2 linked regions of the Xenopus tropicalis genome follow. The protein of the gene in region 1 purifies or fractionates together with the protein of each later gene. This does not show direct contact. Links are inferred from orthologs where the notes say so. Each region holds a gene or a part of one and is shown in the gene's direction. Other genes may lie near its edges.

The links.
Region 2: the proteins of asic1 (region 1) and pick1 purify together in Homo sapiens (affinity purification with western blotting; 3 studies listed by BioGRID and IntAct, with this or other methods). This does not show direct contact. The link is inferred for Xenopus tropicalis from reciprocal best matches to the Homo sapiens genes ASIC1 and PICK1.

What each region holds. Positions count from the first base shown.
Region 1 is NC_030678.2:148,611,797-148,616,093, forward strand, and holds the start of asic1 (acid-sensing ion channel 1), read left to right. Parts: upstream 1-1,435; 5' UTR 1,436-1,514; intron 1,515-4,297. UniProt on the Homo sapiens protein: Forms voltage-independent, pH-gated trimeric sodium channels that act as postsynaptic excitatory receptors in the nervous system, playing a crucial role in regulating synaptic plasticity, learning, and memory.
Region 2 is NC_030680.2:128,871,740-128,875,605, forward strand, and holds the end of pick1 (PRKCA-binding protein), read left to right. Parts: intron 1-489; coding exon 490-623; intron 624-804; coding exon 805-897; intron 898-1,975; coding exon 1,976-2,026; intron 2,027-2,508; coding exon 2,509-2,653; intron 2,654-3,030; coding exon 3,031-3,269; 3' UTR 3,270-3,317; downstream 3,318-3,866. UniProt on the Homo sapiens protein: Probable adapter protein that bind to and organize the subcellular localization of a variety of membrane proteins containing some PDZ recognition sequence.

The sequences.
Region 1 (4,297 bases):
CAGTCTATAAACCTTTAAAATGTAGTTAGATCCACATGGAAAACACCCTCAGGAGTAGAAAAAGCTATCTTTTCCTTTGGCCATTAAAGGTACCTGCCAATAACCTTTAGTAAGACCTAGGGGCACATTTACTAACCCACAAACGCTTTGAATGCATTTTTTTCGCAATGATCGGTATTTTTGTGACTTTTTCAGCGCCATCACGACTTTTTCGCATCTTGCACGTATTTTTCATGACTTTTTCATCGCCGTCGCTAAAAAAATCATATTGTTGCGCCGAGTACGAAAGATTCAGATTCATTCAAGCATCGGTATGGTGACTTTCCTTGGGCCAGATTGAAGCTGCAGAGTGCCATTGAGTCCTATGGGAGGCTTCCAAAATCATGCAAAGTCAGAAAGGTTTTCCCGGCATTTACTATCATTCCATACGAAAAAGTCGCGAAAAATACGAAATGTTGTGTCACAATATCACAAATGTCACAAAAGTCACAATATTTACGTTTCCAATGTGAATTTCTCCCATTCGGGATTCAAATTCGTGTTTTGGTAAATCTGCCCCCTAGAGTTGACATGTACCTAACAGGCCTAACCTTTGGTTCCTCTACCCTAGGCATGGGGTAGGCATCAGCCTTTGAGACTTCATTCATTTATGGCTTATTAGGTCTGCATGACTTCACCTTTACTTTTACATGAGGCTTCAATCCAATTCAACTCTATAGAACGCCATTATTCCAGTATGGCTGAACCTTTTATTATTAAAGCTGTCACTCCTGTTGTAGCACTACACTGTATATGCAATATTTTGAAAAATGGATGATGCCTGACACTTCAGGTCTTTGGTGCAATAAGTAGTTATTTGGTGTGTTACTGCATGTAACAGAGAGGGTTCTGCCCATGTTCACTGTTGGTATGAGACTACAAAAGGGGCCCAGAAATACTGGTTCTGATGCAAAAAACTCCTGAGGCCCACCAGAAAAACCTGGACCCGTTAATATTTGGTTGTTGTACTTGTACAGCCCTAAGGAATCTCAGAAGTTTTGTAATACGCTGCCTCAGTAGAAAACTCTGTGTCTACTAGTAAGTGCAAAATCAGGCAAAAGAATATACTAATACTACAGGGAATCTGATGCAAGGAAGCGTGGCAGCCCAAACCAAGGGGACTGCATCTGGCTGACATCACATGTACGTTAGGTAATTCAATGTACTAGAGACCATGTAAGCCAATCTTTCTATTACCTAATTCTTTAACAGTTTTATCACTTTCTCGTATCCCTCATTTAACACCCTGAAGAGCTGTTGTCATTAGCAGTTCAGTGTTGATGTTATAATGGGCAATTAGCGAGCATGTGAGACTGCTTTGTCTGCAGGTTGGGAGGGTGGGGGGTTTGCGTGCCAGAGCAGATTAATTCCCACTGGTACCTGCCTGATGGGAAACCTTAACAGATAGGGCCAAGGTAGCCATTCCGTGTTTCTGGGCGCACATCTTTAACTTCATTACCGCTGCAAAATGTATGGTAAGTGACTGGTAGAAACAAATGTTTCAGGGAAGACCTAATAGAATTCTGTTTCTACAAGTAGAGCACTTAGTTTTATAGATTTTTTCAGTCAGAGCTGTATGTGCGCAAAGGTATCGTATGAGCCCATATTTGGCAAAACATTGTAAAACAATTAAAGGGAAAATAGAACCCAGTTTGCTCATGGGTCATTCTACACCAAAAAATCATAGCTATAAACAATATGCATTTAATAATATGAAAAGCATATTATAAGAATCTGTGCACTCGTGATCAAGTGGTGTTTTATTATGTTCAGTAAAGCTTTATAACAAATTTGCAACAGTTAAGCTGCATTAAAGCACAGTTAGGCACTAACATGAGGCACAAACCTGAGATTTTCTGCAGTGGGATGGGGAGACTCAGAGTACTCGGTACATTATGGCATAGTCAGTTCTGTATTTATATCCAGCACAGCCCTTGGCACTGGCCCTCTGTCCACTCCGTCCCTGGTTGGTTAATGCACAGGGCAGTCTTTGTACTTTGTTTGTAGATGACAGAAGCAGCACATCCCCTTAATCTCTACTGATCAACATCAGTGAAGCTGCACCACCAGTGAAAAAAAATGAAAGATGGGCACTTTGGAACACATGGCCATCTTTAATTACGTTTGAATCTTTCCTAATTTGCATGCAGGCAGAAGGCCCCTGTTCGGGACCAAGGGTATTCCGGATAAGGGGTCTTTCCATAATTTGGATCTCCATACCTTAAGTCTACCAAAAAAATCAATAAAACATTAATTGTTTGCATCCAATAAGGGGTAATTATATCTTAGTTGGGATCAATTACAAGATACTGTTTTGTTACTACAGAGAAAAAGGAAATCAGTAATAAAATTCTGAATTATTTGATTAAAATGGAGTCTATGGGAGGCGGGCTTTCTGTAATTTGGAGATTTCTGGATAACGGGTTTCCGGATAAGGGGCCCGATACCTGTAGTATGTAAGGATACTGAACAGCTTTGTCCTGTAGTCTCCTGCATGGGAGTCCTCTCCACCAATCCAAACACTTACATTCCATTTGCATTAAAATTAGTTGGACTGTACTCAAAATCTGTATTGTGAATTAACTTCACATTTCTTTTTACGATTTTACACACACTTTTTTACACATTTAGCCCAAAAATGTGGCTTTAAAATATCCATAACAGCCCCCCTTAGACCTACAGTGCAATCACCTGACAAGAGATTTTAGCCCTCAATAAAGATATTGGGCTAACACAGTTCCCCAGATTTTTGGTGTACAAACACACCTTTAAAGAAAAAACAACTACTGTCTTATGTAAACTGTATTGTACTTCAAGCTGCTTATTTGGCACCCTATTGTGTCCATGTAGGAAATATGTTTTTATACATTTTATTTATTTATTAACATTTATTTATAAAGCGCCAACATATTTTAGTTATTACTTGTGTCCAGCAATGTCTCATCTCTTGTTTCCCAGTTCTAATCCTCTGTACAGAGTATCAGTCCTCACTGGTCTTTTGAATCCCTAAGGTATGAGGGTAATGTAGTAACCACAAGTTTATGATGGCAATCAATAAGTTCTGATAAATTGCATGAAACACTATCCATTCCATTTATTGTAAGACTTCCTGTTGGATGTTTAGAGTTTTTATTTATTTTAAGTGTATTACTGAAACAATGAACCTTGGGAGATGGGAATATTCTTTAGAATAACTGATCATTCCTTGTGGTCTCTGCTATATTACTGGTTTAGTCCCTTTGTATTCCAGGCACTGATCCCTAATTATCTTTAATTCCTAATAATAACTCTTTCCTTAGTATTACTTAACTATCAGGGACTCAAAATTACTTGTATTTCTTCTGTGCTCTGGTCAATTATTTTCCTTGTGTGTTGTGCATTATGAACTGTTTGTTTCCAGGCCATATTTTCGCCACTTTTTGTCTCCTCCCATTCTCTTCTTCTTTCTAGGGCTGCCTTCTTGAAAGCAATTTTTACCAAACAGCTTGTAGCAACCCTACTTCATCCTCACTCCCCCTTCCAAGATGGCCTAACCCTTCCCTTTTTAAAGTCTATGTGGTCCTTACTTTATGCACGTCATATGCATGGGCTTTACTAGAGCCTTGGTGCATTTCCCAAAAGTCATTTGAGTTTCCCCTTGAACTCTGGCTCCCTACTAGTTCCTAGGTACTGTAACTGTGACTTAATAAAATACATTATAGAGGTTTTTTGTCATCGTTACCAATATGGAGTGTTGCTGGGAACAGTATCTATAACATTCCATATCAGCCTGGTGACTTTGTTGTCCTTGACTAACCAGGTAGAAGGATCAGAGAGATACGATAGTATTTCATTCGGTTTGTGCTGGAGAGGTAATATTTCATCTTCTAGGGTGACAATTTACTTTATTTTCCCTCAGAAGCCGCAGGGTCCAGTGTCCTGAAAATATAAGATTCACAAACATACTGTTCTCACATTTTGTGACCAACCAGCCCTGTCTACTTTAAAAATCATCTGAGCAAAGATAATGCAAAAAAAAAAAAAAAAAAAAGTACATTATCCAGAATTTATGGACATTGGATACAGGTTAACTGACTTATTATCTATGACTTATTTTCTAATAGATATTGAAATAGGGCAATTGGGCACATTTTTTATAGCAAATAACAGGCAAGCTGTGAAGAATACTGTGGTTTTTGTACTTCACCAAAGAGATAAACTGGGGTCATATCTGATTTCTAATATAAAAATAGCACATATTTTGCCAAGAAATAGTTTC
Region 2 (3,866 bases), on another chromosome or scaffold:
GATCAAAATAAAGTCAGAAATTGTTTGCCTTGCTAAAAATGCTTCCGAGCCCCACCTAGTGGTAGATATGAGAGTTGCACACAAGCAGAAGAAACAGAACCAGGACCCCAGGACTTATCCAGATATTATTGAATAGGAGAAATGGTAGCTCTCAAATAAGTGTCTTTGTGCAATGCTGGTTCATACTGAAAGCTCAGGATCGTGCACAATCTGCTGATAAGGCTGCTTGCACACTGGTATAACAGCTATAAAAATTGCAATGTACACAGTGTAATTTAGTAATAAAAACCACCCCATAAACATCATGACATGGGAAAAGTTGCTTAGAATAGATCTATGTAAACTTATCGATAGTTAATGTACAGGTGAAGTTCCCCTTGACTGACTTTGTGTTCACATACTCCTCTGTCCTGTTGCTTTGCTCTGCATTTTGTACCATTAGTGATAACCGGTGCACGTGTAACATTATCTGAAATCTTTTTGCTGCAGCTTTCGGGGATGTGTTCTCAGTCATCGGAGTGCGGGAACCACAGCCGGCTGCAAGTGAAGCTTTTGTCAAGTTTGCAGACGCACATCGCAGCATTGAAAAATTTGGAATTGGCCTTCTAAAGACCATAAAACCGGTATGAGTAGTGATTGGCCAATCATATGCTATTGTTATCCTGCTCTGGGCAGGGTTATACTAAAGGATGCATTGCTAACAATGTCAGACTATGGAATAATCTCTATGATGCAAAGCTTCTGACTGTGTAGGAGGGCATTACTTTCTACTAGCAGCCCTGAGTTCTCTGTCTCTCCCAACAGATGCTGAGTGACTTAAACACTTACCTTAATAAAGCAATTCCTGACACCAAGCTCACCATCCGGAAATACCTTGATGTGAAATTTGAATATCTGGTGAGTACATAAACCGAGTGCCATGATTTCCCTGTAAATTATATCCTTATACAAAGTGCTTAGTGATGTCAGCTGTTATAATAGGTGTTTAGATATGTAATTTCATTCACATGACTTGCTGAAACCTGTGTATTATAATAAATAATGTACCCTCTTTTGTAAAATATGAGGATATTAGAAGTCACCTCGGAGTTCCATAGCACTTGGCTATTGACCCTTATGCTTGTATATGGTCACGGAACTCCTCAGTGACACTACAGTGGGGGGTCCTTTATATTTGCACCTGGGCATTTACCTGTGGCAACCAATTTGAAGTCTTCTTTCATTGTTGATTTAAAAAATATAAATCACTGATTGGTTGCTGTATGTTACTGCCTAGGTGCAAATTTGCCCAGTATTTATAAATGAGCCCCAGTGAGTCAGGTAAGTGGGACATCCCTGCTGCACACACTGTGATTTGTGGCCAACTGACTGGCTGGAGTATCTTCCCAATTGTTTATACTTAATGGGACAATACCAGACAGAAAGCACATACTACATATGAGTATCAGATTTGTTTGTGCGGTCAGTTACAGCTTCCTTTATCAGTGTCCATTGCATGGCAGAGAACACATATTACCATTATAGCAAATTCTCACTTTCATCTAATTCATTACGAATTCTACTGTTTATTATACATTTTACACAGGGACTGTTTTACCTGCAACTTGCTTGCCTTCAAGGTTAAACCTCCCAAATGGTTCCTCCTTTTATTGGCTCCGCTGGGATCACCTGACTGTAGTTTCAACATGGAGCTGGCAACTGCTCCTGTATAAACGATACAATTATGTTGCTATGGCTATTTTTTTATATACATTCTACCAAAGCTTGGTGAAATGTTTTAATAAAAAAAATCAAAGTTCAGTTGCTTTAGACTTGATTCTGTTAGAGTCTACCAAACCTTGTGTATGAGTGATAATTTTGTTTTTAAGCAAGCTCCATGCTGGTTTATTTGTTCAGACCTGGGGTTTGTCAGAGGATAGTGAGGGAGGAAGCAGTAGTGTATGTTGAAGTTTTATAAAAATGTTTTTTTCTTTAGTCATACTGCTTGAAGGTGAAGGAAATGGATGATGAAGAATACAGTAGCATTGTGAGTATTGCCTAAACTTACCTATATTTTCTTTCCAGACACTTGTTTTCCTGTCTGGGGTGACAAAAGCCTTAGGCTGTGTGTACTGTTCCGCACTTGACGTGCCATCCTGAGCTTTTTATAATACAACTAAAGTTATCATAACTTCCTAAAATGAAGGGGAATGCCACCCAAACACAACTTAAGCTTTTTGAAAAGTAAATACAATTTCAAGCAACTTTGCAATATAAATCAATTAAAAAATATGCAGCACCATCATTGTTTTTAATGTCATACTATGGTTTGGAACAGTTTCCTAAGCCCGGCCCTCTGTTCCCCTTTATCCAAATCACACAATTCCCTGCACACTTGATGTCAATAAGGAAAGGAACATCACAGTCCCTCCTACCCGCCAGGATTTGAAATGAAATGTGTGGGGCTCAAACAAATTTTGGTTCAGAAGCCAGAGTTCCCCTTTAATGTATTTTTCTGTTTTTTTACAGGCCTTGGGAGAACCCCTATATCGTGTTGGTACCGGGAACTATGAGTATCGGCTCATTCTGCGGTGCCGACAGGAAGCACGCGCGCGCTTTGCAAAGATGAGGAAAGATGTCCTAGAGAAGATTGAACTGCTTGACCAAAAACATGGTGAGTGTATAGGAATTCCCAGATGGTAGTATAGAGACCAGTCATGGGAAACCTACAGCCTTTGCCTGCCACTAGTTTGGCCACATACAAAGTTCATCTGTGCTAGATCCGTACTATGAAAAACTCTCTGGCTCAGACATTGAAATGTCCACCTTTTTCTCTTGGATCATGATGAGCTCTTACCATAGACTAGGGACAAATTGCAAATCGTATTAAAGGTTCTAGTTGAAAAAGGGAATAACTTTTAAATTAAGTTTGCCAGATCCCTAAGCCTGGCCAGCTGATTGCATATACATTACATTCATGTAGTGTCACTGTTCTAGCTGAATTTCCTAGATTTGCCCCATTAACTCTCACTATGCTTTTGTTCTTTCCAGTGCACGATATTGTGTTCCAGCTGCAACGATTTGTTTCAGCAATGTCCAAATACAATGACCAGTGCTATGAAGTACTCAAGGAGGCCGACATCTTCCCTATTGAGGTGGACTTGGCTAAAACAACTCTTGCCTATGGTCAGGGAGATACCTTTACTGATGGAATAGATGAGGAGGAAGAGGAGAAGGCTGAGAAGAGAAATGAAGAAGAGAATGGGGAGAAACTGATTGACGATGCATAGAAAGTTGTTTTTACCCTGAGAAATGAAGGAGACGTGACATGAAGTTTACATTTATTCTCTTTCTTGTTTTGACACTGCCTATATCAAGGCCAGGGAACGCATTCTCTGCTGGTGAGGTGATGATTTCCGTGGTCTAGGGCATGATCCCCCCCCCCCCCCCCAAACTGTATTGGAATTGTTGGTATGAAAAGAAATCATCTGTAATTAAGTAATTTCAGTTGAGCCTTCAAAAGATTCTGCACACTGTGCCTGCTTTTCCAGTTTACTAACTTCCAATTTTCATCATTCACCTTATTCCTTCTTGAATTAGGACTTTGTTTCCATGGTCCATAAGTTTTATAGTTGCTCCTTCTTCAAAATGTTACAATGATACTCCTTCTATATGAACTGTACCCTATGTATCCTGCTGTGCTGAGATCACTGAATCAGTTCTGTAGGTGTTCCCATAAAGTTGTGCAGAAATGCTCTACTTAATCTCAAACATTCTGTACATCGGACAGGCAATTTGTCACCTGTTACTGTATTTTTTTTTTTTTTTTTTCCTGATCATTTTAATTTCCAGCATGAATCCCCATGGGTAGTTGGTGTTGTTGCTGT